Linked DNA regions of Pelodiscus sinensis. The protein of the gene in region 4 interacts with the protein of the main gene of each other region in a biochemical or structural test. Links are inferred from orthologs where the notes say so. Each region holds a gene or a part of one and is shown on either strand. Other genes may lie near its edges. The genes, in order: UBR1, RNF20, UBA1 and UBE2B.

What was found.
Region 1: the proteins of UBE2B (region 4) and UBR1 form a complex in vitro, tested with the Homo sapiens proteins (2 studies listed by BioGRID and IntAct, with this or other methods). The link is inferred for Pelodiscus sinensis from reciprocal best matches to the Homo sapiens genes UBE2B and UBR1.
Region 2: the proteins of UBE2B (region 4) and RNF20 form a complex in vitro, tested with the Homo sapiens proteins (4 studies listed by BioGRID, with this or other methods). The link is inferred for Pelodiscus sinensis from reciprocal best matches to the Homo sapiens genes UBE2B and RNF20.
Region 3: of the proteins of UBE2B (region 4) and UBA1, one has a biochemical effect on the other in vitro, tested with the Homo sapiens proteins (10 studies listed by BioGRID, with this or other methods). The link is inferred for Pelodiscus sinensis from reciprocal best matches to the Homo sapiens genes UBE2B and UBA1.

The regions. Positions count from the first base shown.
Region 1 is NC_134714.1:67,178,242-67,185,543, reverse strand, and holds the start of UBR1 (E3 ubiquitin-protein ligase UBR1), read left to right. Parts: upstream 1-3,935; 5' UTR 3,936-4,062; coding exon 4,063-4,131; intron 4,132-7,302. UniProt on the Homo sapiens protein: E3 ubiquitin-protein ligase which is a component of the N-end rule pathway. Recognizes and binds proteins bearing specific N-terminal residues that are destabilizing according to the N-end rule, leading to their ubiquitination and subsequent degradation.
Region 2 is NC_134716.1:7,956,640-7,964,377, reverse strand, and holds the start of RNF20 (E3 ubiquitin-protein ligase BRE1A), read left to right. Parts: upstream 1-4,663; 5' UTR 4,664-4,766; intron 4,767-5,583; exon of another isoform or gene 5,584-5,605; intron 5,606-6,757; 5' UTR 6,758-6,811; intron 6,812-7,738. UniProt on the Homo sapiens protein: Component of the RNF20/40 E3 ubiquitin-protein ligase complex that mediates monoubiquitination of 'Lys-120' of histone H2B (H2BK120ub1).
Region 3 is NW_027465846.1:72,837-80,509, forward strand, and holds the start of UBA1 (ubiquitin-like modifier-activating enzyme 1), read left to right. Parts: upstream 1-4,322; 5' UTR 4,323-4,337; coding exon 4,338-4,364; intron 4,365-5,009; coding exon 5,010-5,104; intron 5,105-5,809; coding exon 5,810-5,941; intron 5,942-6,443; coding exon 6,444-6,518; intron 6,519-6,795; coding exon 6,796-6,934; intron 6,935-7,448; coding exon 7,449-7,569; intron 7,570-7,673. UniProt on the Homo sapiens protein: Catalyzes the first step in ubiquitin conjugation to mark cellular proteins for degradation through the ubiquitin-proteasome system.
Region 4 is NC_134727.1:28,263,166-28,270,394, reverse strand, and holds the start of UBE2B (ubiquitin-conjugating enzyme E2 B), read right to left. Parts: upstream 3,123-7,229; 5' UTR 2,963-3,122; coding exon 2,919-2,962; intron 1-2,918. UniProt on the Homo sapiens protein: E2 ubiquitin-conjugating enzyme that accepts ubiquitin from the ubiquitin-activating enzyme E1 and transfers it to a E3 ubiquitin-protein ligase. In vitro catalyzes 'Lys-11'-, as well as 'Lys-48'- and 'Lys-63'-linked polyubiquitination.

The DNA.
Region 1 (7,302 bases), on a different chromosome or scaffold from region 4:
GAGCTCAAACTAGCTACAGGCATAAAGGGAAACAAGAAGACATTCTATAAATATATTAGAAGCAAGAGGAAGACTAAGGACAGGGTAGGTCCATTGCTCAGTGAGGAGGGAGAAACGGTAACAGGAAACTTGGAAATGGCAGAGATGCTTAATGACTTCTTTGTTTCGGTCTTCACCAAGAAGTCTGATGAAGGAATGCCTAACATAGTGAATGCTAGTGGGAAGAGGGTAAGTTTAAAAGATAAAATTAAAAAAGAACAAATTAAAAATCAATTAGAAAAGTTAGATGTCTGTAAGTTACCAGGGCCTAATGAAATGCCTCTTAGAATACTCAATGAGCTGATAGAGGAGATATCTGAGCCTCTAGCTATCATCTTTGGAAAATCATGGGAGACAGGAGAGATTCCAGAAGACTGGAAAAGGGCAAATACAGTGCCCATCTATAAAAAGGGAAATAAGAACAACCCAGGAAACCACAGACCAGTCAGTTTAAGTAATTAAGGAAATCATCTGCAAACACCTGGAAGATAATTAGGGTGATAGGGAACAGCCAGCATGGATACGATTTGTTCTTTACAAGTCAAACCAATCTGATAGCTTTCTTTGATAGGATAACGAGTCTTGTGGATAAGGGAGAAGCAGTGGATGTGGTATACCTAGACCAGTGGTCCCCAAACTTTTGGGGCTGCCGGGCGCCTGGGGGCTGGGCCGCACACACGCCGGGCACTCGGGGGCGGGGCTGTGCACACGCCCGGGGGTGGGGCCACCCATACGCTGTGTGCCCAGTGCCGGTGCCACCCATGCGCTGCACTCCCTGGGCTGGCGCCGCTCCTGTGCCGCACAACCAGGAGCTGGCATCACCCACGCGCTGTGCGCCCGGGGCCGGTGCCGTTCGTGCGCTGCATGCCCAGGGGTGAGGACGCCCATGCACCGCGCGCCCGGGGCCGGCACAGCCCATTCACCGCGTGCCTGGTTCTGGAACAGCCCTTGTGCTGTGCACCCGGGGCCGGGGCCGCCCATATGCTGCATGCCCGGTGACGGTGCCACACATCCGCCGCACTCCTGGGGCCCGCACCGCTCCTGTGCCGCACGCCCAGGAGCCAGCAGCGCCCATACACTGCGTGCCTGGAGACGGCACAGCCCTTGCGCAGTGCACCTGGGGGCGGAGCCGCCCATACGCAGCGCTCCCGGGCCCGGCACAGTCCTTGCTCCGTGAACCCAGGGGCGCGGCCACCCATGTGCTGCGTGCCCAGGGGCCAGCACCACCCATGCCACACGTGCCCGGGGGTGGAGCTGGCCCCGATCACTTGGCGGGTGCCCAGAAATGGCCCAGCGGGCGCCATTGCACCCGTGGGCACTGCATTGCGGACCACTGACCTAGACTTTAGTAAGGCATTTGATATGGTCTCACATGATATTCTTATCAATAAACTAGGCCCGTGGTCCCCAACACGGTGCTCGCGGGTGCCATGGCGCCCGTGGGGGCATTCGTGTACGCCCGCCACGTGCCCGGGGCTGGCCTGGCCCTGGGCACGTGGCGCATGCACAGTGCCGGAGCCGGCTCCAGGCGCATGGTGAGCGCCGGCCCCGGGCACTTGGGGGCGCCGGCCCTGGGCGCGCGGCGCTTGGGGGGGAGGGGGCGCCGGCCCTGGGCGCTTGGAGGAGGGGGGGCGCCGGCCCCGGGCGCACGGAGCTTGGGGCGGAGGGGGCGCTGGCCCCGGGCGCGTGGCGCTTGGGGGGGGCGCCGGCCCCGGGCTCTTAGAGGAGGGGGGGCGTCGGCCCCGGCCCCCAGCGCTTGGAGGAGGGGGGGCGCCGGCCCCGGGTGCACGGAGCTTGGGGGGGAGGGGGCGCTGGCCCCGGGCGCGCGGCCCTTGGAGGTGGCCCCGGGCACTTGGAGGAGGGGCGGGGGGCGCCGGCCCCGGGCGCGGCTATGGGGGGGGTGCGGCTATGGGGGGGCCCTGCCCCCGTGCCCGCCCCCTGGTGCCCGGCGGGCGAACGGCCACGCCCCCTGGCGCCCGGCAACCTCCACAGGTTGGGGACCACTGAACTAGGCAAATACAACTTAGATAGGGCTACTATAAGGTGGGTGTATAACTGGCTGGATAACCGTTCTCAGAGAGTAGTTATGAATGGTTCACAATCCTGCTGGAAAGGTATAATAAGTGGAGTCAACCCCTTGGTAGCGGCTACCGAGGGGTTAAATATTGGAATAAATTGCCAAGGGAGGTGGTGGAATCTCCTTCTCTGGAGATATTTAAGAACAGGTTAGATAGACATCTGTCAGGGATGGTGTAGACGGAGCTTGATCCTGCCTTGAGGGCGGGGGGCTGGACTCGATGACCTCTCGAGGTCCCTTCCAGTCCTATGATTCTATGATTCTATACACTGGCCCTTGAATTTCCGGAAAAGCAACAATGCTCTACTGTACAAAATCAGCCACTATTCCGGAAAAACTATTCTGCTCCCGCTCGGGCATAAGTCCTTATTCCGGAACACTGTTCCGGAAAAGGGCCAGTGTAGACAGCCCAGTAGTCTTTTCCGGAAAAAAGCCCCGATCGCGAAAATGGCGATCGGGGCTCTTTTCCAGAAAAGCGCGTCTACATTGGCCACAGACGCTTTTCCGGAAAAAGGGCTTTTCCAGAAAAGGAGCCTGCCAATGTAGATGCTCCTTTTCCAGAAAAACTGAAAACGGAATAGTATTCCATTTTAAGCATTTCCGGAAATTCATGCCAGTGTTTAACTGAAAGGAAAATGAAAGACAATTAGGATAGTATAACCTAAGTTCTGAACAATGTAACAGAGTATTTAAAGGCCTAGAGGTCTTGAGACACATACCCATATAAGAGGCTCACAATCAAAAGCGGATTAAGCTTTTGTGGGGTTCTGGGCCAGAGCAAGTGAAGAACCCCGTCACTCCTTATGCCTGTAGTGTCTCCTTGGAAGAATATGGGCAAGAGAGAGAGGATTGGGAATGCAGGATGGATGGAGGAAGAGACTGAGAGGGTTTGGAAGTTGTGGTAAGAGGAAAACAATAAACGGGGATGAGGTAAGTAATAGGGAATGGAAGAGGGTGAGAACTGGGAGGGGACAGTAGGGGTAGCGGAGGGATAGGGGCATAAGTACAGGTCATTGAACATTCTCCCTTCCTATTTGTGGGCCCAGATGTAGGGGAAAAGGAGAAACCCTCCCAGCAGGTCAGGGATTGTATCTGAACCCCTCCTGACATAGTGTTGTCTACACTGGGTTAAGCTGGTATAACTGTTGCTCAGGCATGAGGATTTCTCTCACACCTGAGCAATTTAGTCAGGGGTGGATATAGGGCAGGGCGAACGGGGCGGTTGCCCCGGGCCCCGCGCTTAAAAAAGCCCCGCTCATGCGCCGTGGCAAAGGGGGGGGGGGCCGCAAAACAGTCATCTGCCCCTGAATTTAGTTATATTGATGTAGGCCTCTCATTTCGACTTGGCCTTATTCCAGAATACACGTGCAAACGGGAAGTTCTAGAAGCATAGTCATTTAACTATTCCGGTATGACTGGTAAAAACTTTCTAGTGTAGACAAGCCCTTAATTAAACCAATGCAAATCTCTGCACAAACAACCTTATTTCTGTTCAAGAGCAGTTGATTGCCAACATACCCATGTTCACAAAGGGCTCTGCAATGTTTCAACAACGTGGGCTTGCCCCTCAGAAGAAACCCTGAAGAGAAATGCAGCCTTAACGTAACAGTCCTTCTGCTTCTATGTTCTGGTCACCCCCGCTGGCTGCTCCCTTCGAAGGTGGCTTCTGCCACGCTAGCCTTAGGACGCTGTGGCCCCGCCCGCCGTTGGCTTTTCCCCTGCCTCTGTGCCGGAAATAGGCTCGGATCTGAAAGCAAGTAAAGGCAGCGGCTTCAGCGGTTGTGACTGCGCAGGCACAGGTCGGTAGCGCATGCTCAGTGGCAGCTAGGTGCGCTCACAGTCGGGAGGCAGATTCGGCCGCTAAAGCTTGGCCCGGCTGCCCCGGCAACTTGTTTCCGGTTGGCTCTGCGGGGCGGGGCTTGGCAGCCGTGTCTTTTGCCCTCAAAATGGCGGATGGAGGAGCCGGAGCAGGAGCCAAGGGTGGGGATTCCGTGCAGCTCCCGGAGCGGGCCATGGTGAGACTCCTGCCCTGTGGGTTCTTCCCGGGAGCCGCCCACGCCCTGCCTGTGGTGACCTGGTAGCCGCTGGAGCCCCCAGCGGAGGGGAGCCTCACCCCCTGCCCGCGTGGGGGAGCAGTGACCCCTTGGTCGCCTTCCCTCAGAGCAGGTGAGGGCCCCCTGGGCAAGGACCACCAGGTACCTGCCCAGTGGGGACTTGCCCACTGGAGTGTGACAGCACCGCCACCGAGTGTGGACGCACCTGTCCTCCCTTTTGCCCATTGTCTGCCCTGCATGCAATGGCTGTTTGCAAGTGGCACAGTTCCATGCGAGGGTGACACTCGTGCGCTGTGTAGAGACCACTAAGCCCACAGTAAGAGGAGCAGTGACAAACTGTCGGCTGCATTGTAGAGATGGTCTTCAGTGAAAGGTGGGGTAAAGGTATCATAGCATGGACTTGAGATAAAGGATGATGGCAGTATTTTGCTTAAATGCAAGTTTCCCTGTGTTGGAATAACAGACTGATAAATACTAAATAGCCACTCAGTTGCAAAGCAAATATGGCCCTGATGCCCCAGCAAAGCAGAGTAGTCAAATATACCCCACGATATTGTGGAGCAGGATGTTACAACAAGCAGTTACCTAATAAAGGGTTATCTGTTGTGTACATTTGGTTTGCTAGTGAAAAGTAATACCTTCCTACTATGCAGGAAGGGGAGGATTCTCCTCATCAAGTGCTTTGCTTGAAGTTGCATAGAATCAGTTGTTGAAAGTGATTAAATTAAATCATCTGCCTCATAATTCTATTCTAATCTGAAGGTTGTCTTGGAGAATAATCTGATTTTTTTTCCATCTGTCTACATACACATGTCTCAAATTAGGGAAAAGGCCCCTTTATTAGCGGCAATATGCTTCATGCACCAAATAAGTTATATTTATGTTGAAGCTGAAGTAGAATAAATATTTGCTAATTTCTGGGTTGTTATATGTAATATACATTTGGGGGTCCTTTATTATTTGTCACTTGATTTGTATTTGTGTCTATATGTGTATATATAACTGGATCTTATTTTCTTTCATCAGCCAGTGGAAAGCTGAAGGCTTCAAATGAAAATAAAGGGAACAGTATTGACTCAAAAATTTAAACATAAAATCTTGCTTGAAAACACTAGTTTGAAAATCTGTTAAAAATATTGTAGTCTAGTCTCCTGTATCAGGTCAATGTTAAGTGGGAATTACATACTAATTAACTATTTTATTTCTGTATCTTGTATTTCTAAAGTAGACTTTAGAACTACCCAAGAATGTAGTCAGTGTCTAATGTTGGGAGTCATCAGAGCTATAGACTGGGCTCCAATGTTCCATTGATTCTACTTTAGCAAAACCACTGTTTTGTGTACTAACATAAAATTAAAACATAGAGTTTATTTTAAACATGGGGTAGGAATTCCAGCTGCTTGACAGAATAGCAGGGAATTAAAGTGATTGGTAAAATGGTGTAGGATTGAACTGACTGATATCATTCGACATTCAAACATACATACTTGCAGAATAGCATACAGAAAAATGTGACATCGTGGTGTTGAATTTAAATTCAGTGTATGGATTAGTAACTTAAATAATAACAAGCCTGTTGCAAGGCATTTGATACTTTGTGATCTACAGATGAAAATCATCTTAAAAGTCTGGTTGTGTTCCATTTCCATACACAGCTGTTCAGATAGCCATAAGTAGTTTATGGATTAGCTACCGCTATCTTCTTGAAAATGATATAGTACACAGTCCCTGCCACCCCACACCCCCGGAGTGTTTTTATCTCCCAAACTCTTCCAAGGAAATGCTCATTTAAATGAAGCTTGTCAAAAACATCCACAGTTCTTTCTCTTTTCTTCAGGGCAAAACTGCTTAGCACAGAATAGAGATCAAGATTTTGAAAGGCCTTAGTAAAATTACACATGGAAAGAAATTGTTCTGTATTCATAGGAAAATTGTCTGAATACCACATAAGATTCCTTTCCCAAGAGTTCTTAATGATGTGAAATACCATAAGCCAACATTTCTACAAACTAAAAGTCATATCCCTCTGAAGAGACACTTAAAAATGACTGGTTAATGTTTCTTAAAGATAACAAACCAAATGCCCTAAATAAAAATATGGTTTCTCCTTGAACTTTCTTTGACAAAAGATGCAAAATGAGAAATCCCGAAGTTAGTGATTTTTTTTTTCAAAGCAGCACATTGAGTTCAAGAGAAGTAGTCAAAATCCAAATCCAGATGCTGGAAGAGAGAACATGCTGAAGGGGGAGGGAAAGGGGGGAAAAAAACATAGGTAGATGCACTAACAAAGGGCAGTAAATAGGGGAATAAATGCAACATAATCTCACCAGAAACCCCAGCTTCTTTGAAGCAAAATGCAGGACAATGTAGCACTTTAAAGACTAACAAGATGGTTTATTAGATGATGAGCTTTTGTGGGCCAGACCCACTATTTGATCTGAGGAAGTGGGTCTGGCCCACGAAAGCTCATCATCTAATAAACCATCTTGTTAGTCTTTAAAGTGCTACATTGTCCTGCATTTTGCTTCAAAGAAGCTGGGGTTTCTGGTGAGATTATGTTGCATTTATTCCCCTATTTACTGCCCTTTGTTAGTGCATCTACCTATGTTTTTTTCCCCCCTTTCCCTCCCCATTCAGCATGTTCTCTCTTCCAGCATCTGGATTTGGATTTTGACTACTTCTCTTGAACTCAATGTGCTGCTTTGAAAAAAAAAATCACTAACTTCGGGATTTCTCATTTTGCATCTTTTGTCAAAGAAAGTTCAAGGAGAAACCATATTTTTATTTAGGGCACTTCTTTGCTATACTTAAACAAAGCTATCTAAATATAACTTGTGCTGTTTACAATCAATGCAAATTTGTGTTCAGAATTGTACTAAAATGGCATGGCTAATGTATTTTTAAATTGATGTTTTGTAGTCTAGACATTCTCTGAAAGATTAGAAAGGGGAAAAAAACAATGCCCTCACTTTATGCATTTGACATTGCTGTGTGTATAGTTTCAGTTTCACTGTTTCCTTGTAGAATCGATCAGTTTCACTGTTGGAGCTTTTCCTGCAGCATCAGAGAACATTTTTTAAATATAGGGAAACGTGATTGTAAGCAGTAGGGAACTCTAAGAGTGTAATACCT
Region 2 (7,738 bases), on a different chromosome or scaffold from region 4:
TGCACACCCCATCCTGGCGTGCCTGGCGGATGGCAGCTGTGTGGGGCTGTTCGAACGTCTGTGCCTCGGCTGCCATCCATGCAGGGAGGAAGGCCTGCCCACTGCGCTCCACAATGTTGTGGAGCACGCAGCACGCGGCCAGTACCTCTGCTGCATTCCGCTCACCCATCTCGAGACGGGTGAGCAAACAACGGAAGAGGACTTTCAAACGTCTGAAGGCAAGCTCCACCGGATTTCGGGCCTGGTTGAGGCGGTCGTTGAACCGGGCCCGGTTCTGGTCCGGCCGCCCCGTGTAGGGCCGCATTAGCCAGGACAGCAGGGGGTAGGCCGCGTCCCCGATGACGCAGATGGGCATAGGCACATTCCTGACAGTCAAGTCCCGCCGGGGGAAGTAGGTGCCCGCCTCCAACCTGCGAAAGAGTCCAGAGTTGGGGAGGATACAGGCGTCATGTGCCCGGCCGGACCAGCCCCTGTAGATGTCCAGGAAGCGGCCCCGGTGGTCCACGAGGGCCTGCAGAACAATGGAGCAGTACCCCTTTCTGTTCATGAAATGGGCCGCTCGATGCTCCGGGTCCCAGACGGGGATGTGGGTTGCGTCCAGGGCTCCCCTGCAGTTGGAGAACCCGAGGGCAGCGAAGCCGGCCATGGTAGCATCCACGTCGTGCAGGCGGATGACTCTTGGGAGCAGGACGTTGTTGATGGCGTGGACGACCTGCAGAAGGGTGCAGAGAAACACAGGGGAACACATCACATACGGCAGAGGTGAGTGTGCGCTCCCTTGGGCCCCCCCTTGATTCCCTCTGTCCTCACGCACGCGCGCACACACACACACACACACACACACACCAGGGCCCCCCTCGCTCCACGGCCTCCCTCCCCCACCAGCGGGCCTGTGCAAGGGAGGGACAGGCCAAACCCCTGGGCGACCCAGCCTGGAGTCTTGGCTGTCCCTGGGCAGCACCCTCCCCCCATCCCACTCCCCCTGGGACTTACCTCCACGACGATCACACCGATGGTTGATCTTCCCACCCCGAATTGCTGTGCCACCGAGCGGTAGCTGTCTGGTGTGGCCAGCTTCCACAGCGCGATGGCGACCCTCTTGTTCACGGGGATGGGTGCCCACAGCCGGGTGGTGGCTCTCTGCAGTGCGGGGGTGAGCCAGGCGCACAGCTGCAGGAAGGTTCGCTTTCTCATGCGGAAATTCCGGAGCCATTGCTCCCACCAGTCGGTGCTGGTGTCCAAACTCCAGACTGGCCTCTCCACGGTGGGGTGCTTATGCCACAGGGTCGCCAGCGCCTCCCTGCTGAGGGAGTCGAATGCGATCTCTGCCTCCTGGTTCTGGAACACCAGGGCACCGGCCTACAGCACGAGCTGCAGGCACTTGTACAGCTCCAACAGGGGTCCGAGCAGGCACATGGCCACCCACAGCTCCATGGCAGACAGAGCAGGGCAGAAGAAACAAAACGCAGGAAAAAGCAGTTGGGGGCCAAAGGGTGGTGTCCCCAAAAGTAAGAGGGCAACCACCAAACCTGCTAAGGGTGTCAGTCCCTGCCAGAGGTCCCAACGCACGGGAGCATGAGACAAATGGCTGTCCGGCGAGACCCCTTTAAGCACGTGTCTGAACGGAGCTCTGGCCCCGCCCCCGGAAAGGTCTGGTGGCCTTTTGCCCTCTTCAAAATGGTTCTGGGCTTCTGCTTTTGCGAAAAAGCACGCCGCCAATCTAGACGTGCTTTTCCGCAAAAGCGCATCGTTATAACGATAACTCCGGGACCAATCTAGACGCGCTTTTCTGGAAATACTTTTAATGGAAAACCTTTTCTGTTAAAAGCATTTCTGGAAAATCATGCCAGTGTAGATGAAGCCTAGGAGTAATTGCAAGCAAAGAGGAATGAAAGCATATTTGTAAAAGAGAAAGTATGTAAATAATAATGTGCCACCCCCAAAGGGGTAGAAGTATGTTTTTTTTTTCTTTCAGAAAATCAGGACAAGCTGGTACCAGCAGAACCCCCTACAACACTATGGGGCTGTGTCTACATTGGCATCCTTTTCCGGAAAAGGGATGCTAATGAGACACTTCGGAATTGCAAAAGCAAATTTGAAAGTAGGAATAAGGGATCTTCCGGAAAAGGCTTTATTTTCTGCAAGATCCCGTCTAGACTGGCGCTTTTCTCCGGCAAAACCCCGAGCCGGAAAAAAGCGGCAGCCATGTTATGCAAATGCAGCGGGGGATATTTAAATCCCCAGCGGCATTTGCAATTTCGAAGTGTCTCATTAACATCCCTTTTCCGGAAAAGGGTGCCAATGTAGACACGGCCTGGATGTATTGTTGCAACAAAGATTGTTTTATGTTTTGTGTTTGTCTAACGTCTGTCTGTCTTCCTAGCTAGTATACTGTGTTAAAAAAATTATACTGCACTAGGCAGGAAAGGTTTAATAAGCATTATGCAATTTGAGTGTATTTACAGACACCAGTATCTCAAAAGAGTAGAGGCCAAGGAATTTGAATCTTGCTAATTGGAAAAAGTGGTAAAGGTTCATTTAAAAGAAAAACTGCATGGAGCACAAAGTTTATCTATTGATAAGAAACTTGAAGGAATAAACATAAAGCACAAGGTTAAATTACTAAACAAAAAGGATAGATATGTGAAAACATTGTGTAAAAAAAAAAAATCAGTGTTAATTGGAATGTTTAAATCAACTTTAAGCCTGTAAGGCAAGCTTAATGCACCTGGATGTTGCATACAATTGGAAGTTTACATCCCTGATTGTAAGGGGCAGTATTTCCAGTATTTCCAATACTGCCAGTATTTCCCCCTCTGACAATTATGCTATTGTTAGCAGGGAGTTTATGGGATCAGTACAGGAGGCATTTATTTAATGCTTGTACATGTAAAATTATTATTATACAAAATACTGTATGTGAAACATTAATTAGGGAATGTATGTAAGAGAGAGACAGTGCTTGGACAATGAATGAATGGTTTGAGAGGTGCCAGCCTGAGAATGCAGCATCTATATAAAATCTTATATTTTAGTTACCTGCAATAATATCATTAGCGCTTTCATGTTCAGTTCTCTGCACAATCATTGTCCTTCCAACATTCCTGTCCTGTTCATTAGTGTAATCCACACTATGGATGTGGAAAACTAACGCACAGAACAGTGAACTGACTTGCAGACAGTCACAGCACGTGTCTTATGTTTCTTACTGCTTTCCCTCTGGCCCTTGCTCATTTGCTTCACAAATTGTCAATATGCATTTTGGAGTTGTCAACTGAAGGGAGCATCTATGTATGCAGTGCCTGCCAACACCTATTCACCACCAATGGTCCCTGGCTTCGGTGCTGACTGAGAGAAGCCTGGCACCTGCTGGCTTATATTGCACAATGCAATTTTTAAAAAATAAACGGCAAAACAAATGTGCTGCCATCAAATTAACCAAGTAGCCACAACACATCAATTTGATCTGAGGAAGTGGGTCTGGGCCACGGAAGCTCATCACCTAATAAACCATCTTGTTAGTCTTTAAAGTGCTGCATAGTCCTGTCTTTTGTTTCAGCTAGACCAGACTAACAGGGCTACATCTCTTTTACTATTTCACAACACCTCGATTACCCCCACCCCACCTCTTTCAAGACTACACTTGAAAGAGAATCCTCCCAGCTGTCATTCATGCTTAAATTCGACACTTTACATCTAAGTTTGAATAAAGACTCTAATTATCTTGCCCATTACAAAGATAGCGTCCCCAATGATCACTAGCTCCCAGACATTTACCCCCCGCAGCCTCCTTCTGTTCTGAAATGTGATTTGTCCTTTTCATATGTGTTCATTTTTTTAATTGTATCCTATGGTTGTGACTATTTTCTTCCACTATTTGATCTGAAGTATCAGAGGGGTAGCCGTGTTCGTCTGAATCTGCAAAAGCGACGAGGAGTCCTGTGGCACCTTATAGACTAACTGAAGTGTAGGAGCATAAGCTTTCGTGGGCAAAGACCCACTTCGTCAGATGCATGTACATGCATCTGACGAAATGGGTCTTTGCCCACGAAAGCTTATGCTCCTACACTTCAGTTAGTCTATAAGGTGCCACAGGACTCCTCGTCGCTTTATTTGATCTGAGGAAGTGGGTCTGGCCCAGGAAAGCTCATCACCTAATAGCGCTGCATAGTCCTGTCTTTTGTTTCAGTGACACCAGACTAACAGGGCTGCATCTCTACCCCCACCTCGCTGGTGCCTCCCTCCTTTCCCCCCGGCTGGCTGGTTTGCACCCCCGCAGCTGCAGGGGCTAGTTAATATTCCAAGGTATTTAGGAAGTGGGGAGCCTAAATGCATTGGAGGAGCGAGGCCATGGGGTCGCCTACTCCCCCAGCTGCTGCTCTAGGTCCCCTGCTGTACCCCACTCGTGCCCTCAGCTCAGCCACGTCCCCTGACAAGAGGCAGGGCTGCAGCCGCCATGTCAATGAAGGGCGCCTGACTTCGAACCCCTAGGAACCAATGAGAGGCGGTAGCCATGGCAACTAAGGGCAGAGCGGCGGCAGAGCCTGTCAGGCGGTGGGCGGTGGCCGCCCTGTTGAGGAAGGGCAGAGTGGCTTCAAAGCCTCTGGCAGGCAAAGGGCGAGGGCAGCCATGTTTGTTGAGGGCACGCTGCCGGGCGACAAGCTACGTGAGACGCCGGCGGGGATTGGCTGAGCTGCTGTCACCGGCCGCTTCCTGCAGGGTCAGGGTTGGGAGGCCGGAGGTGAGGCCCGGTGGCTGGGCCGGGGGTGAGTCTCGGGGCTGGGGTGTTGCGGGGAGGAGAGGGGGCTTGGCCCGTGGGGGAGGGGCAGGGGGCTTGGCCCGTGGGGGAGGGGGCTTGGCCCGTGGGGGAGGGGCAGGGGCAGGGGGCTTGGCCCGTGGGGGAGGGGCAGGGGGCTTGGCCCGTAGGGGAGGGGGAGGGGCAGGGGGCTTGGCCCGTGGGGGAGGGGCAGGGGCAGGGGGCTTGGCTCGTGGGGGAGGGGCAGGGGCAGGGGGCTTGGCCCGTGGGGGAGGGGCAGGGGCAGGGGCAGGGGGCTTGGCTCGTGGGGGAGGGGCAGGGGCAGGGGGCTTGGCTCGTGGGGGGAGGGGCAGGGGCAGGGGGCTTGGCTCGTAGGGGCAGGGGCAGGGGCAGGGGGCTTGGCTCATAGGGGAGGGGCAGGGGCAGGGGGCTTGGCTCGTGGGGGAGGGGCAGGGGCAGGGGGCTTGGCTCGTGGGGGGAGGGGCAGGGGCAGGGGGCTTGGCTCGTAGGGGCAGGGGCAGGGGCAGGGGGCTTGGCTCATAGGGGAGGGGCAGGGGAAGGGGGCTTGGCCCATGGGGGAGGGGCAGAAGGGGAGGGGGCTTGGCCCCTGAGTGTGAGGGGGGTCGGGGGGGGGGAGTGGGGAAGTGTTCGCGGAGGGGGGGGCAGTTGGCCCCTGGCCTGGGGTAAGGGGAGCGGAGGCTCAGGCTGGGGCATGTAGGATGGGGGAGTGTCAGGGGCAGGAGGGGCTTGGCCCCTGGGCTGGGGGAAGGTGGGCTGTGGGGTATGGGGGAAGTAAGAGGAGGGGGACTCGCCCCTGGGATAGAGTAGAAGGATATCAGTTAGTTGGAGGTATGTAGGGGTCAGCCCCTGTTCTGTGTCTGGTGGGGAGGGGCAATATCAACGCTGAACTTGGGCTGGTTGGGTGAGGTGACTTGATCAGTGGGGGCTTTTTGGGGTGTGTGTGTGAGGGGGAGTGATGGGATAATCGCCCCTAAGGGTGGGGCGGTGCACACAGATATTTTCTGAGAGTGGTATTTTTTTTCTGTCAGCCTGTTGGTTTCTGTTAACAGTGCTCTCTGTGGAAAAAAACATCCCACAAATAACAAAAGCATGCTCCATTGAAAAAGAGGGACATTTTTAAACACAAGGAACTGAAAATCTTCCTTCAGTCACATTTTAGAGTGAGAAGGAGATGGCAGTGGGAGGATTCAGCTCATAGATGTTGGACATTTTAAGGTTCTTTATAAGACATTTAAAAGATGGTATGGACCTGCTATAAAAGTCTTGGAGAGATTTCAAAACATGAGACACTTGAGAGGGTCACTGTCAAGTTAAAATAATACATTGCAAACTAAGGGTACATCTAGACTACATGCCTCTGTCGCCAGAGGCATGTAGATTAGGCTACCAGACATAGTAAAATGAAGCGGCGATTTAAATAATCGCTGCTTCATTTAAACTTACATGGCTGCTGCGCTGAGCTGACAAACAGCTGATCAGCTGTTTGTCGGCTCAGCGCGATAGTCTGGACGCGCGGGTGTTGACATCAAAGGTATTTGTCGACCACCCAGGTATGCCTCCTGGGATGAGGTTTACCTGGGTGGTCGACAAATACCTTTGACGTCGACACCCGCGCGTCCAGACTATCGCGTTGAGCCGACAAACAGCTGATAAGCTGTTTGTCAGCTCAGCGCGGCAGCCATGTAAATTTAAATGAAGCGGCGATTATTTAAATCGCCGCTTCATTTTCCTATGTCTGGTAGCCTAATCTACATGCCTCTGGCGACAGAGGCATGTAGTCTAGATGTACCCTAAGTCTCTGATTGAGCAAAGCACTTAATTCACACACTGATTTGCTTTACTCACATATGCTTTCAAAGTAAGTGTCTGCATGTTTGCAAGCGAATTCCTTAGCTGTATTAGAAATACCGCTGTAAAATGGAAAGAAGTTTAAAAATCTGTTGATACTATATGTTTTGTTTACTTTTGCTTTTTGTTCAGCTTGTAGGTAGAGGCACATCTTCAGCTCCTGTGAATGGGCTCAGCATCAGAGAGGTTAGTGGAACTGTGGCCATTTACATCATCTGATGATATGGCCCTAAAAATTGGCTAGTCTGTTTCATGAAGGTTCACCTGTATTGGCACAGTCTTGCAATGTTTGGGTTAAAAATATTTCCAGGACATGTTTGTTTGTTTGTTTAACTTCAGTGGAGGAAAAAATCCTGTAATAGAAGTGGTGGTCTTGAGTTTTGAAGATTACTATTTTTAAAATGATTTGGGGGTCAAATTAAAATACTAACCTGATAACTAGTTAACTGAACTCTTGGCCTGGCTGGAGCATCCCTCCTCCCGCAGCGTGGTGGACACTGCCTGATTTGGAATGGGCCCATTGCATCATACTGTGGGAGTGGGGCTGCTCCAGGGTTAGCCAGTTAAACATAGCACTTAACCAGTTAACATTTTAACCAGGAATTTACATCCCTGGTTTGCTGCAGGATTCTCCACTCCTTCCTTTCTCAACATGTAGGTCAAGGAGTTTTAGTAAGCTTGTAAAAAGCAGCAGCTTTCAGTGGAATTAAAAGGACTATCCTCACACTTTCTCTCCAGTGATCCTATTTATAGTCTGCAGATGTTGGCAGATATGAAAAGATCTGCTGCTGAGTTTTGCCAGGGCAACCTGAGCCACACCATTTCCTTCTAGCACAGTTATAATAGAGTCAGGCTGCTGTAGACATATAGGATAGAAGGAGGAGTCTTACCAAACCCTTCATTCCTGAGTCCAGTCAGAATTAGAATGTAAGAATCCTCATCGGGAACATCACCGTCCCAATTCCCTGCGTCATCTGAGAACCTTTTGGTAACCTTTTGTAAATCATCAGCTGGAGCAGTTCTGCCCCTGTTCTTTTTGTCTGTTGATGTTTTTTATGATTGATCTTAAATAAAACATTTAAACGTGAACTAATTACAATAAAAATGCAGAGA
Region 3 (7,673 bases), on a different chromosome or scaffold from region 4:
CCCGCTGCCCCCGACCTAGTTCTCTCCGCTCCGCCGAGCGCTCCGCCCCGCGCGGCTCCGGGCTGCGCTGGACTCGCTCCCCGGCGGCTCGGGGGAGGCAGGCGCAGCGCCCCGCGCTCCGGCCATGGGCCCCTGCGCCCGCGGGGCGCGGTGACCGGACCCAGGTAAGCCGGGGCGGGGCGGGGCGGGGCCAGGGGGGGCGGACGCCCGGGTTCGCTCCCTGCCTCCCGGGGAGTGAGGGCCAGTGGTTGGATCAGGGGGGCTGGGAGACCCCACGCCTGGCTTCCCTCCCGGTCTCCCAGGGGAGTGAGGGCCAGTGGTTAGAGCAGGGGGGCTGGGAGACCCCACGCCTGGCTTCCCTCCCGGTCTCCCAGGGGAGTGAGGGCCAGTGGTTAGAGCAGGGGGGCTGGGAGACCCCACGCCTGGCTTCCCTCCCGGTCTCCCAGGGGAGTGAGGGCCAGTGGTTGGAGCAGGGGAGCTGTGGTCCTGCATGCCTGGCTTCCCTCCCTGCCTTCCAGGGGAGTGGGGGCCAGTGGTTAGAGCTGGGGGGGGGGGGGCTACGAGCCCGGACGCCTGGCTTCCTTCCCTGCCTCCCAGGGGAGTGAGGGCCAGTGGTTGGAGCAGGGGAACTGTGGTCCTGCATGCCTGGGTTCGTTCCCTGCCTTCCAGGGGAATGGGGGCCAGTGGTTAGAGCTGGGGGGGGGCTAAGAGCCCAGACGCCTGGGCTCTCTCCTCGCCCCCCAAAGGAGCAGGGCTGTGGGCACATTTGGGGTGGGCTGTTGTGTGGGGCAGTCTGGGGCAGGTGAAGTTTGGCAAAGTTAAAAGTAGCTGAAGGTTGGCCCCGCCGAAGGGTGGCACTAGGGGGCGCTGTGCTTGGGGGTGTGGCAGGGGGCATTCTGGGGGGCTCCCATTGTGCTCCCTGCCATTGTCAGTTCTCAACCCCTCCCCAGGGTGTGTGTCCCCTGCTGGCGGGGCTGGGCCCCGTGCTGTGGGGTGTGCTGCTGGCTGCGGTGGTCTCACATCTGTTGTCTGGCTACAACGCTGAGTTGTGTGTGGCCTTGCACTTGGGCTGTGTGGTGTCTTCGTGCCCAGCTGGATTGTGTGTCTGTTCCTTGTTGCGTTTGTGTGGTTGCCGTGTGTTTGTTTCCATGTTCCGTGTGTGTCTGCGAGGCTGGGGTCTTTTGTGTATTACAGTGCGTGAATGCGGCTGTGTTGTATCTGTTGCACTGTGTGCTCCTGACTGTGGGGCATGCGTCACAGTGTGGTAGTGTGTGTCACAGCGTGAGCATACAGTTGTCTTGGTGTTGTAGGTATGTTGCAGTGTTTGTATGCAGGGTTGTGGTGTCAATCACAGTGTGTGTGTGCAGTAATGTATGCATCAAGGTGTGTGTGCAGTTGTGGGGTGTGTGTCAAAGTGAGTCTATGATGGCGGGTTGTGTGCATATGGATGGGGATTTCACAGTGTGTGGTTGTGGGGTGTGAGTGTTGCAGTGTATGCATGCAATTGTTTAGTATGTGAGTGTTGTGGTGTGTGAGGTTGTGGTGTGTTGCAGTCCATATGTAATTGTGATGTGCATGATTGTGTGGTGTGTTTGCAGTTGTGGTGTGTGTCTGTGTGCAAGCAATTGTGCGGTGCACATGTGTGCATGGTTGTGGTGCATATGTTATAGTGTGCATGCAGTTGTGGGCTGTGTGGTGCAGTGGGTGTACATTTGTGGAGTGTGTCACAGTGGGTGTGTAGGGTTGTGGGAGTTCTGTCCCAGTTTGGAGGAATTGTGGGGTCTATGGATGTGAGGTTGTGGAGTGTATGTGTGGTTGTGGGATGTGGGGTGCAGTGTGTGTGTGTGGTTGGGGTTTGTGGTTGTGGAGTGTGCGGGGGGGGCTGTGGGTCATGTGTCAGGGTGGGGAGATTGTGGGGTGTTGCAGTGTGTGTGTGGTTGTGCAGTTGTGAACTGTGTGTAATTGTGGAGTGTGTCAGTTTATGTGCAGTTCTGGGATGTGTATGGTGTATATGTCTGGGTTGTGTGTGGAATGTTGAAGCGTGTGGGGTTGTGAGGTATTTGTTATAGTGCAGTTTTCAGATATGTGCAGTTGTGGGTATGTGTGGTTGTGGGGTATTTGTCAGTGTGTGAGTGTTTGTGTGTTTGTGATGTGGTTGTGGGAGTGTCATGGGTGTGTGTGTGGTTATGCTGTGTGTGTAGTTGTGGGGCGTATGTCACAGTAGGTATATGGTTGCGGAGTGTGGGGAAGTTGTGTGGTGTGTGCCACTGTGTGTATGTGTGTTTGTGGGGAAGTGTCGCAGTGTGTAGTTGTGGGGTGTGTGTGCAGTGGGGTTAGGTATGGGGGTTTCATGGTGTGGGGGGCGGAGGTGTCACAGTGTTATAGTAGGTGGGTATCGGGGAGCGTGGGGGGAGTTGTAGTGTGTGTGTTGTGGGGGGTGCAGTGGTGTGGGGCATGGGGGGTTGTGGAGTGTATGTGCATGGTTGTGCAGGTTTGTGGGTTGTGTTGAGGGACGGGGGTGTTGCAGGAAGTGTCAGGTGATTGTGGGGTTTGTGTGCAGTTCTGTGGGCGTGAGGTTGTGGGGGGTGTCGGGGGGTGAGGTTGTGGGGGGTGCAGGAGGGGGGATGCTGGGTGTATGTGTGTGGAGGGGTGCTGTGTACCTGTCTGGGTTGCGTGTTGCAGTTGTTGGTTGTTGGCTGTTCCCTCCCATGCCCCCCCCCCCCCCCCGTTATCCCTCCCCACAGGTTACACCAGGTTCCGGCTCCTGTTGCCTTCAAGAGGCTGTAGCCAGGTTGCCATGGCAACAGCCAGGGTTCTTGGGGTTACCGGGGCGATAGGAGGGTTCTGGGTCCATCTGTCCAGTTGTCACCAATCGGCGCTTGGCGGGGGGCAGGCGGGGTCCTCCCAGCCCGGCCCTGGGCTCCCCGCCCTGCCGGTGCCCCTCACTCCCCACCCGCAGCCCCCCAGCCCGGCCCTGGGCTCCCCCCGCCCGCCGGTGCCCCTCGCTCCCCACCCGCAGCCCCCCAGCCCGGCCCTGGGCTCCCCCCGCCCGCCGGTGCCCCTCGCTCCCCACCTGCAGCCCCCCAGCCCGGCCCTGGGCTCCCCCCGCCCGCCGGTGCCCCTCGCTCCCCACCCGCAGCCCCCCAGCCCGGCCCTAGGCTCCCCGGCCGCCGGTGCCCCTCGCTCCCCACCGCAGCCCCCCAGCCCGGCCCTGGGCTCCCCCCGCCCGCCGGTGCCCCTCGCTCCCCACCCGCAGCCCCCCAGCCCGTCCCTAGGCTCCCCGCCCTGCCGGTGCCCCTCGCTCCCCACCCGCAGCCCCCCAGCCCGGCCCTGGGCTCCCCCCGCCCGCCGGTGCCCCTCGCTCCCCACCCGCAGCCCCCCAGCCCGGCCCTGGGCTCCCCCCGCCCGCCGGTGCCCCTCGCTCCCCACCCGCAGCCCCCCAGCCCGGCCCTGGGCTCCCCCCGCCCGCCGGTGCCCCTCGCTCCCCACCCGCAGCCCCCCAGCCCGGCCCTAGGCTCCCCGCCCGCCGGTGCCCCTCGCTCCCCACCCGCAGCCCCCCAGCCCGGCCCTGGGCTCCCCCCGCCCGCCGGTGCCCCTCGCTCCCCACCCGCAGCCCCCCAGCCCGGCCCTGGGCTCCCCCCGCCCGCCGGTGCCCCTCGCTCCCCACCCGCAGCCCCCCAGCCCGGCCCTGGGCTCCGCCCGCCCGCCGGTGCCCCTCGCTCCCCACCCGCAGCCCCCAGCCCGGCCCTGGGCTCCCCGCCCTGCCGGTGCCCCTCGCTCCCCACCCGCAGCCCCCCAGCCCGGCCCTGGCTCCCCCGCCCGCCGGTGCCCCTCGCTCCCCACCCGCAGCCCCCAGCCCGGCCCCTGGGCTCCCCCCGCCCGCCGGTGCCCCTCGCTCCCCCACCCGCAGCCCCCCAGCCCGGCCCTGGGCTCCCCCCGCCCGCCGGTGCCCCTCGCTCCCCACCCGCAGCCCCCCAGCCCGGCCCTGGGCTCCCCCCGCCCGCCGGTGCCCCTCGCTCCCCACCCGCAGCCCCCCAGCCTGTCCTAGGCTCCCCCCGCATGCTGGTGCCCCTCCCTCCCCACCTGCAGCCCCCCAGCCCGGCCCTGGGCTCCCCCCGCCCGCCGGTGCCCCTTGATCCCCACCCGCAGCCCCCGAGCCCGTCCTAGGCTCCCCCCGCATGCTGGTGCCCCTCCCTCCCCACCCGCAGCCCCCCAGCCCGGCCCTGGGCTCCCCCCGCCTGCCGGGGTATCAGACCCCAGGGGGCAGCTGCTGACCATTGGTTTCATGCCCGGGCTGGGAGCCAGGACTCCTGGGTTAGCCCCGATCTAAGGGGGCCATGAAGGACATCCCCCAGCCAGATCCTGTAAGGGGGGTTCAGGGCCCGGGCACTGCCAGCCCCAGCATAGAGGGGCTGGCTGGCGGAGCAGGGGGGCTGAGTGGCAGGGGAAGGAAGGGCTCAGCAGAGGGTCTGGCTGTGTCTCCCCAGGATGCCGTGGGGCTGGCTGGCGGAGCAGGGGGGCTGGGTGGCAGGGGAAGGAAGGGCCCAGCAGAGGGTCTGGCTGTGTCTCCCCCAGGATGCCGTGGGGCTGGGCTGGCGGAGCAGGGGGCTGGGCGGCAGGGGAAGGAAGGGCTCAGCAGGGGGTCTGGCTGTGTCTCCCCAGGATGCCGTGGGGCTGGCTGCGGAGCAGGGGGGCTGGGCGGCAGGGGAAGGAAGGGCTCAGCAGGGGGTCTGGCTGTGTCTCCCCAGGATGCCGTGGGGCTGGCTGGCGGAGCAGGGGGGCTGGGCGGCAGGGAAGGAAGGGCTCAGCAGGGGGTCTGGCTGTGTCTCCCCAGGATGCCGTGGGGCTGGCTGGCGGAGCAGGGGGGCTGGGCGGCAGGGGAAGGAAGGGCTCAGCAGGGGGTCTGGCTGTGTCCTCCCCAGGATGCCGTGGGGCTGGCTGGCGGAGCAGGGGGGCTGGGCGGCAGGGGGAAGGAAGGGCTCAGCAGGGGTCTGGCTGTGTCTCCCCAGGATGCCGTGGGGCTGCCTCCGGCTGCGGGAGGAGAAGAGCTACAGCAGCGTGGGCGACATCACGGACAAGTACGAGATCGGGAGCTGCTGAGCGTGTGAGTGTTTGGGGGCCCCTCCCCCCCCGCTGCCCCAGCCGCAGGGGCAATCGGTCGTTCTCTGCCTCAGTTTCCCAAGCAGGGGAGAGAGGCTGAGGGGGGAGGTGGATCGTTTTACCAGGCTCCAGGGGAGCCACCTGAAAGCAAAGGGGCCGCCCTCCCTCACTTTTCCCGGGAGCCTGGGGGGACAAGGCAGGAACCTGGACCCAGGGCCGGAGCAGGCCTTGGCGTGGCCCGGTGGGGAGGGGCACGTGGCTGGCCCAGCGGGTTGGCACTTGGGCGGCTGGGTGCTCGCTGGGACCCCCTAGGCCTGGCCCAGGCGCCGCGATGCCTGGAGAGGAATGCTGTCCCAGTCCGCCCAGCCTGTCCAGTTTCCCCAGGACTGGCTCCCCCAGCACCCCCATCTGTGGCCTGATCTTCTGTCCTGGGCGTGGCAGATTCCCATTGGGCCAGGCAGCTTGACTCCCCATTCCTCCCCCCAGGGTGAGTCACCCCAACATCCTGCAGCTCATCGACACCTTTGAGACGCGCAAGGAATTTTACATCATCCAGGAGCACAGCAGCCAGCAGGGGGAAACTGAGGCACGCGGCAGGCTGGGAAGGGTGGTTGCAGTTAGGATGACTGTGAGAACGGGTGGTGCTGGGGGTTGGGGGGCGGGGCTATGGGAGGGGGGGCTCTGTACGATCTCCCCCCTCCGCCCCCAGGAAGGAGTTTTGCGAGCTCTGCCTGGCCCGCGAGCGCCGGAGCGACCGGCTCGTCGTCTGCAAGCGGTTCCGGAAGCGGGACGGCAGGAAGGTTCGCCAGGCGGCCCGGAACGAGATCCTCATCCTGAAAATGTAGGTGCCCACGGACGCGAGGGCCCTGAGCGCCTTCGGCACCTCGCTTTCCTCCTCCTGAGCCCCCCTGGCAGCAAGGCAACGTACCAGGGGGAAACTGAGGCAGGCCTGACCTCACAAAATCCTCTTGAGGGTGCATATTTCTGGCCCTGCTGTGTCTTTCTGTTGGCCCCTGGTGTGTCCACCTGAGCTCCCTGGCCCTGCCGGGGGTGCCTGCTTCTTTGCGAGTGCCTCCAGCCAGTCTCTCCCCTTTGGTGCATGGAGGAGGGAAACTGAGGCAGGCCCCAGCGTCCTTGCGCTTGCTAGAATTGTCACGTGAGCATGAGCCTGCTGCCGTTGGCCGTGCTGAGCGGGGGGAGGGTGGGTCCCCGCGGGGGGGGGGGGGGTCCCTGCAGCAACGTGGGGCAGGCTGGAGGGGGGGGTGTCCCGGCTTGGGGGTGGGGTGGCACCGGCTCTGAGGGAAGCGGTACCGTGGGCTTGACTTTCCCTTCCCTCCCCCCAGGGTGAGTCACCCCAACATCCTGCAGCTCATCGACACCTTTGAGACGCGCAAGGAATTTTACATCATCCAGGAGCTGTGAGTAGGGGGGGCACCGCAGGGCTGGGGGGGAGGGGACCCTGGGGCCGTGGCTGGGGGGGGAGGGGAGCCTGGGGCCGTGGCTGGGGGGCGCCAGGGTTTGGGAAGGGGGGGTCGATCCTGCCCTTGCAGCAGAGGGAGCAAAGGGGGTACAGGCCGTGGGGACCCTGGAGTGGTCCGAGGGGCCATCCTGGGCGGGGGGGAGCAGGCTCCGTGGCTGGGAACGGGGGGTCTCCGGGCTCCCCCAGGCTAAGCCAGTGCGGCGCTGCCCCGGCAGGGCGACGGGCGGGGACGTCTTCGACTGGATCCTGGACCTGGGCTGCTACTCGGAGCGAGACGCCAGCAGCCTCGTCCGGCAGGTGCTGGAGGCCCTGGCCTACCTGCACGGCCTGCACATCGTGCACCGCAACCTCAAGGTCAGCTGCCCCCCAGCCCCGGGCCCCCCTCCAGCGCTGCCACCGGGGCCAGGCTAATCCCCTGCTCTGCCCACCAGGCCATGCTCCCCTCCCGGAGCCGGGGGGAGAACCCAGGCGCCCCGGCTCCCAGCCACTCGCCCCGGCTCCCAGCCCACTCGCCAGGGTTTTGGGAGGTTCGCTGGCTGGTTTCTTTAGCTCACATCCTCCCTCTGGTGGCCACTTCTGTGCTGTGCCCAGTAGGGTGGGGAGGGGAGGGGGCAAGCTGGCTGGGGGGGGGGGGGGGGGAGGAGCAGCTGGCTAATGTGGGGCAGACAGCCTGAGGAAGGAGGTGGCAGAGTTGTGGGGGGCTGACAGCGAAGGAGGCGCTGTGGGGCTGGCAGGGGAAGGGACGCTTTGGGACCGGTGCAGTGGGGCTGGTGGGGGAGGGGGCGCTGCTGTGGGGCTGGCGGGGGAGGGGCGCCATGGGGCTGACGCTGTAGGCCGGGCGGGGGTCTGACGCCCGACGTACCCCCAGCTGGAGAACCTGGTCTACCACACCCAGCAAAGCCGCGCCAAGGTCGTGTTGCGGGATTTCTACCTGTCGCGCTTTGAGAACGGAGCCATCACGGAGCCCTGCGGGACGCCCGAGTACCTGGGTAAGGCCCCCCATCCCCGTCCAAGCCACCTCCTCCTTGCCTGAGTTCCTGAGATGCCCTCCAAGTATCTGTGCCCTCCCCCCGTCACCAAAGCGTGGGGAGTC
Region 4 (7,229 bases):
TCATATCATGTTGAAACAAAGCATACAATTTAAAGCCTATAACAATTAGCTTTTAATTTTTTTCTACATGCACAACAGATGTAGTATATAACATGTAATTAAATGACAAACTGGAACAGTTGCTAAAAGAGTCTCTCTAGCTCAGCATGTACCATTTTTAAACAGTCTCAGAGGCTATGTCTACACAGCTTCCCTCTTCTGCAAAAGCCTATATTGAAGCACATATTAGCATACTGCAAATGAAGCACATAGCCATGCTTCATTTGCATAATTAGGAGCCCTTTTTGCACAAAAGGTTTTTGTGCAAAAAGGCGCCATCTACACAGCGCCTTTTTGCGCAAAACCCCTCTCTTGAGCAAGAGCCGTTCTTCCTGAAAAAATGAGGAAAAACGGCTCTTGCACAAGAGGGGGGTTTTTGCACAAAAAGGCGCTGTGTAGACGGTGCTTTTTGTGCAAAAACAGCTCCTAATTAATTATGCAAATGAAGTGAGACAGTATGCTAATCTGCGCTTCATTTGCCCAGGCTTTTGTGGAAGAGGGAAGCTGTGTAGACAGCGCCAGAGGGGTAGCCATGTTTGTCTGTAACTTTAAAAACAACAAGTGGTCCTGTGGCACCTTCTATTTCCATTTGTATATTAGCAAAAACATAGTTATATTCTGTTTAAAAATGATGAGTAGTCCTGTGGCACCTCAGAGACTAACAAAAATATATATAGTATCATGAGCTTTCGTGGGAAAAACATACTTCATCAGGTGATGAACAGAGGAGCTGATGAAGTGGGTTTTGCCTATGAAAGCTCATGATACTATTTATACTTTGTTAGTCTCTAAGGTGCCACAGGGCTACTCATAATTTTTAAACAGAATATAACTATGTTTTTGCTAATATATAGCAAAAGGTCCTTGTTTACACAACATTTTAAACAATGTGAGACAGAAGTTATCAACCAGAATAGTATGTACAAGAGTCCAGAAGTGTTTATCAGTTCAGTGTGCATAATTAGGTGCCCAGACTGAGACAAGCTTTCATTCAGAAGGGCCAAGAATCTGACACTTCTATTCACTTCAGCTGGAGTTGTGGCTCTTCAGCAGTGGGAGGATAGCGGCAGGAAGGGTAGAAGACCACCAAAAAACTATCTCAAGGCAGGTTCCCAAAAACTGAGGACTGTCCCACCCATGAGGGAACTCATCTCTGAAAAATTTAGCTTTACTCACTAAGCATTTCACTTCCAGGCCCACAAAAAAGTTACTAAAACCAACAAGAGAGAATGTTGATGCCGGATCTCCAGAGATGTTTTTTAAAAAAACCAAGATATTTGAATAATGAGAGTACAGATGGGCATTTGAAACCTGCATAAATATTTACAGGCTCAATATTCTCTCCTCTGTCAAGTTCCAGCCTGAAGCAAAGTTTGACATCATAGAGCTAATTCCCTTATATTAGAGAGTTACTGCATCATGGAATCTCTGATATAATTATAATGTACTACTTTAAATGTTATAAATAAACGCTTGGTCTATAAACAGTGGCTTTTAGGAATGATACAGGCTGTCTAACAGACCACATGCAATATAATGAAAGGCTCTTTGGACATTTCTCATGTTGACAGAAAAAGGAGAGTGGCTATTGCTTTAAAGACATAAGGCATCCTGAAGACAGGAATGAGCAGAGAACTTTAGAGGAAGTAACTCTAAATAAAAACAAAAACAGACTCCTTTCTACAGAAGCAGAGGTTTAACCAATATCTTTAGTGGGATAGGAGATGTTAACTTTCTTATTGATGTGCATGTGTAGGAACAGCATTTACCATATAGACCCAAGTCCTTTCAGCATCTCCGTCCCAAGGAATTCAGGGGTAAAAGGCTGCTTATCCTGTAGTCCCAACTCCAGTAACAGACCTTTGACAAACCAGCATTTTCCTTTACCAGCATAAAGTGAGGTTTTTGCATTCTAGATCGTGTCTGCTCTCAAGGAAAGTGAAGTTTGTTTCTGTGTTATTAACTCTCTCAAAGAACAGTCCAGCATAGGGGAGGAGAAACAGGACAAAGATAAAGCAGATTAAATCCTGTACCTGGAGAAGCCCTAGACTGAAGTACATACTTGATGTAGTGGGGGGAATTAAGGGATTCAATGTAGTCCAGTGAATAGGGCTCTAAGCTGGAAGTCAGCATATTGGATTCTATTTCTAGCTCTGTTATTGACTTTGGGCAACTTGCTTCACCTCTGCAGACTCCATTTCCCCATGTAAAACACAAGGCAGCCATATGGACCTGTCCTTTGAGGAGAGTGCTGTTCAAGAGCCAAGTGTTACTACTGGCCTCCAGACCAGGTCAGGCTGGTCTTGAAGCAGATACCCAGGATTCATGATGGATCTGCCTACACCCTGCACGGATCGCAGGCTTGGACGGGGCACTTCCTGGGTGCCAGCCTCAAGTGGGTTTGGGACAGCTCCTTAGGCGTTACTCTCCCAGCTCACGGGGCCAACCTCAGCTCAGCAGCGGGCGGAAACAAAACAGGGAACCCCCTTGCATCTCCATCCCCACGCCAGGGAGAGGAGCTGCTCCCACTCCTCAGCGACAGGGGGGCTACCCGCCGAGCCCTCCAGGAACACACAGGGGGGGCTCCTGGTAATATGGGGGGTGCACCGACCCCCTGTCTCCCCGCTATTTTAATTGCTGAGAGGTGGCCCCCCCGCACTGCCTCCCTTGGGATGCAGACCGAAGGGGCTCCTACCCCTCTCCCCACACAAAGCAGCTCCAGGAACTTGGAGCTCAGCCCCGCAGGGCGGCTCCTGCCTGGGCCCTGCTCCGCGCAAGGCATAGCGGGGCGCCAGCGAGACCCACGGGGGGGAGCTTGGTGCCCCCTCGGGGAGGGGGGGGGCGATCCCAGCGCGCAGCCTCCCAGGCGAGACGCTCACCTCTTGAAATCCCTCATGAGCCTCCGCCTGGCCGGAGTGGACATGATCCTCTCTGGGAAAAGAGTCCCTGCCCCCACGGAGCCTCGGCACCGCTCACCGCGCCGCGGTCTCCCTCCCCAGCCCGCAGCGGCTACACAAACAACCCTGCAATGGCGTCTCCCTCCGCCGGGGGGAGGGAAAGTCACAGGCTCCTCCGCGACCGTACCACTCGCTCTGCCGAGGGGAGGGCGGAGAGAGAGGAACGCACCACTACCGGGAGGGGGAGGGAGCTTCCACCCCTCCAACGTGCCGCTGGGGGGCGTCAAGGTGCAGACGGTCGAGCCGCAGAACGCGCAGCGGCCCCGCACGGGGTGGGGGGAGCTGCTGCGCTGTCCGCGAATCGCGTCCCCGGACCTGCCCGGCTTGCAGGGAGCAGCCCTGGAGGCAGGAGAACGCTCTGAAGGCGCCACTCAGACCCTGCCTGACAGGTTCCCCGGGCTTTAGGAACATGAAGAAATAGCTCACACCCATGTAGGTGCCGCTGGAGCTGGGGGTGTTGCCCATCACCTGGCTTGAAGAGGCTTCCATCACAGAGGGGGTTTACAGCTTAATTCATTGGCAGGGTCTGGAAGAGAGTTTGGCGGCAGGAGAGGGGGTGGGGTGGGGGTACGAGAGGGAGTTTGGGAGCCGAAGGGGGCTGGGGGAGTATCACAGAAAAGGCGAGAGGATGAGCATGCAGCCAAATAGATAATTGAGGAGGGAGGCAAAGAAGTGGGGAGTAAAGGAAAATGCAACTTCTGCAAAGTAAAAGTGTCATCTTGCCTCTGTTCCAGCCTCACTCTCCCCTCCCCCCCCCCATCACCCCATGTCCCTCTGTGCAACCCCGCCCTGTGATGGGATTTGCAGCCTCCTGGGAGTAGCACTGGGGCAGAGTCTCTTCCCTGCCCGGATCAGCCCTTTGCCTGCTGGTAGTGGTTCTGGGGTTGGGGCAGGCAGAGCCCAAGGCTGGCTCCATGCAGCAGGGCACTGGGGAAGGGGCTCCTCAACCCCGCACACAGCCCGCAGGGAACAGCGTGGCATAGCCCATTCTCTACCATGCCACGTGTGCCACCCGCCCAGCCCTCGCTCTGCAGAGCAGGCCCAGCTCTGCCCCCTCCTGGAGCAGGAGACAAGAGCTGGGGATGCATGCCTCTTCCCATCCCCCTCGCCAGCAAGTTAACAAAGAGGGGCAGCCACCTGGGCGGCTTCCCCTTTTTGCTCCAGCCAGGGCTGGATCAAAGAGAGGCAGTTGCCCATCGACTCCTAGGGGCGCTGCGATCAACTGGTCGATCACGATCGACTGGTTGGTGATCACCATCCTAGGCACATGAGCAGTCTTGACAAATTCCCACCTATCCTACTCTCAACAGCCAGGTGTGAGGCTGGGCATGAAAACTTCATAGATCAGTAGGGTGGGGAAAGTGGGCAGCAGCTTCCCCCGGCCCTTCCCTGCCTTTCACGCTTTGTACCTGGATTGAATTAAACCAGAGAAAGACAATTTCATTCCAAAATAAAAAAATCCAAACATGGAGCTTTTTGAAAATAGCTACTCTGCTTTAAATTCACACTTATTCCAAAATTACTTTCATGTGTAAACCAGACCTAGTCGGGGATATTATACTCAGGACATAGTTAATGCTGCTTCCAGCACAGTTCCCCAAGAAGCTCATATTGTTGAAGCTGCGCTTATGCTACAGGGACTATACTGGTATAGCTATATTGCCACAACATAACCCAGTACTAAAAACTCAACCTACACTGATAGAGGGGTTTTCTCATCTGTATAGAAACAGTAACTCCCTGAGTGACATATGTTAGGGCAATGGAAGCATTCTTTCAATGACAAAGATGTGTCCACACTAAGGGTGAGGTTGGCATCTCAGAAGTATGGATTTTTCAAGTCCTAAGTTAGGGATGGGCAACCGAGGCTAATAAGTGGGCTGCATGAGTGGCCCTCCTTCATCTCAATGGGCCACAGGATTGTTGTAACAAAGACAGTCTCTTTGGAGTGGGTAGTTTTGGTAACTGCACTTGCGTACCTAGAATTTCCAGGGTGTGCCAAATGAACTGTAGCAGCCATTTGATGAGCTGCAAAGAGAGTGCAGGGCTCTCACACATCACTTTAGCACATACATCACTTCATGTGCCCTTGCTTTAAGCTTAAAAAACAAGATGGACAAAACCCAGCAGAATCTGGCAAGCCTGTGTGTGGGCAACAGTAAACAAAATGTCTTGTAGGTCCACACAGAGCCCCAATGGGCTGTATGCAGCCCTCGAGCTGCAGGTACCCACTACTGCCAATGTGGCTACATCAATATAAATTTTAAATGTAGACCATGCTCAAGTCTTAAATTGCCATACCGTAATTACCATTAAGCCTCTTCCCCCGCTGCATCATGAAGGGGTTTCTGTGGTGCCCAAAGGCTGTGGGGTAATGGGATGTGCAATTTAATTGTTTCTCCCCCTTTCTTTACAATAGTGCCAATCCTAAGCATTCAAATAAACTCTGGTCATCTGAAGAAGTGGGCTGTGCCCACAAAAGCTCATGATACCATCTACATGTTTTGTTAGTCTATAAAGTGCTACCAGACAATCTGTTGTTTTTTAAGTTTATCCTGTACAGACTAACTCAGCTATCCCCTGAAGCATTCAAATATTGTGACCCAAGGCTCCAAAAACTCACAATAGCCTTATAAATAATTACATTTAAAAATAATATATTTTGGGTAATACAGTTTTGATATAAATTTGTTTTGGGGAGTATTTTTGTTTCTTTTTTTGACAAAACAAAAATTCAGTGTCTGTTTCCAATGGAAATTTTCTAGTTGTCATATGAGAACATTTCAGTTTTTAGGTTTTTGATACAAAGTCAAAATTTTCAACAGAAAAAAATCTCAATTTTCTGACCACTTCTAATTGTAGGGTTTTGTTTGTTTGTTTGTTTATCTAGTGTTTAAGCCTTTGACGTATACTTGAATTACATTTCAAAACTTCGCCTGCAAACATGAGGACTAGAAACTTAAAAAAGAAATTATAGCTGAGTTTCTCGTGTAATGATATGACTCCAAAATAGGGCTTAAAGAAAAATTCAAAAAATCAAGAAGCAAATGGTCTGGCAGCACTTTATAGACTAACAAAACATGTAGACGGTAAAGTGCTACCAGACCATTTGCTTGCTGTTTTTTTTGTAACAGACTAACTTGGCTACCCCCTGAAGCTCCAAAAATCAAGAGAGGTGTGATAAAACTGTAAGGCTACGTCTACAATGCAGGCTTCTGCAATGTCTCTGGGGAGGACAGGAGCAGCGTCTCAGGGTGCATCTACACAGCAGCGTTATTTCAGAATAAAGACCGTTATTCCAAAATAAAAATGCAAGCGTCTACACAGCAATTCCATTATTTCGAAATAAATCTGAAATAACGGACAGCTTATTCCGACTTCTGTAAACCTTATTGCATGAGGAATAACGCCTATTCCAAAATAGCTATTTTGAAATAGCAGTAGTGTGGATAGTCCACTGCTGCTATTTCAAAATAGCTCTTCTGCAGGGCCATTCAAAGTAATTACTCCTCAGTCCATCCTGGGGCTCTAAATGGAGGTAGCAAGTCTACATTAGGGAAGCCTGCCTCAGACTAATTTTGAGGATTCCCTATAGCAGTGGTCTCCAACCTTTTTACACCCAAGATCACTTTTTAAATGACAGAACAAGCCAAGATCTACCACCCCGCCCCTTCCTTGAAGCCATACCCTCTCTATTCTCCTCCTCTCCATCACTTGCTATCCCCAATCCTTATACTGCTGCTTTTTTCCCCAATTCTTCTGTAGGAAGAGGTTTTTCCAACATTTGGCCTGTCTAGACTGGACCAAATGTCAGAAAACCCCCTTCTTTTGGAAGCCCCCTTATTCCTCGTGGAAAGAGGAATATAGGGGTGACCGAAATATCATGTTTGCTCTTCCACTAAAAAGCGGAAGAACAAACATCCCTGGATGCAGAAGAGCTTTTCTGGGATATCTCCAGAATCATGAAAAACTCCTGCAGTCTAGCCGTACCCTCACTGGGTTGAGACAGGATGTGTAGGCTCTGGGGTGGGAATGAGGGATTTGGGTGTGGGAAGGGGTGAGAGGTGCAAGCTCTGGGAGGAAATCTGGATGCAGGAGGAGGTGAATAAGGGGACGCTGGCTCAGGGAGGGGGCTCCAGGCTGGGCAGTGTTGGGGTCAGATGTAGTGTTAGGATACTAAGCAAGCCACAGACTTCTGGATGTTAGGGTTCAGGAATTTGGGTTGGAGTATGT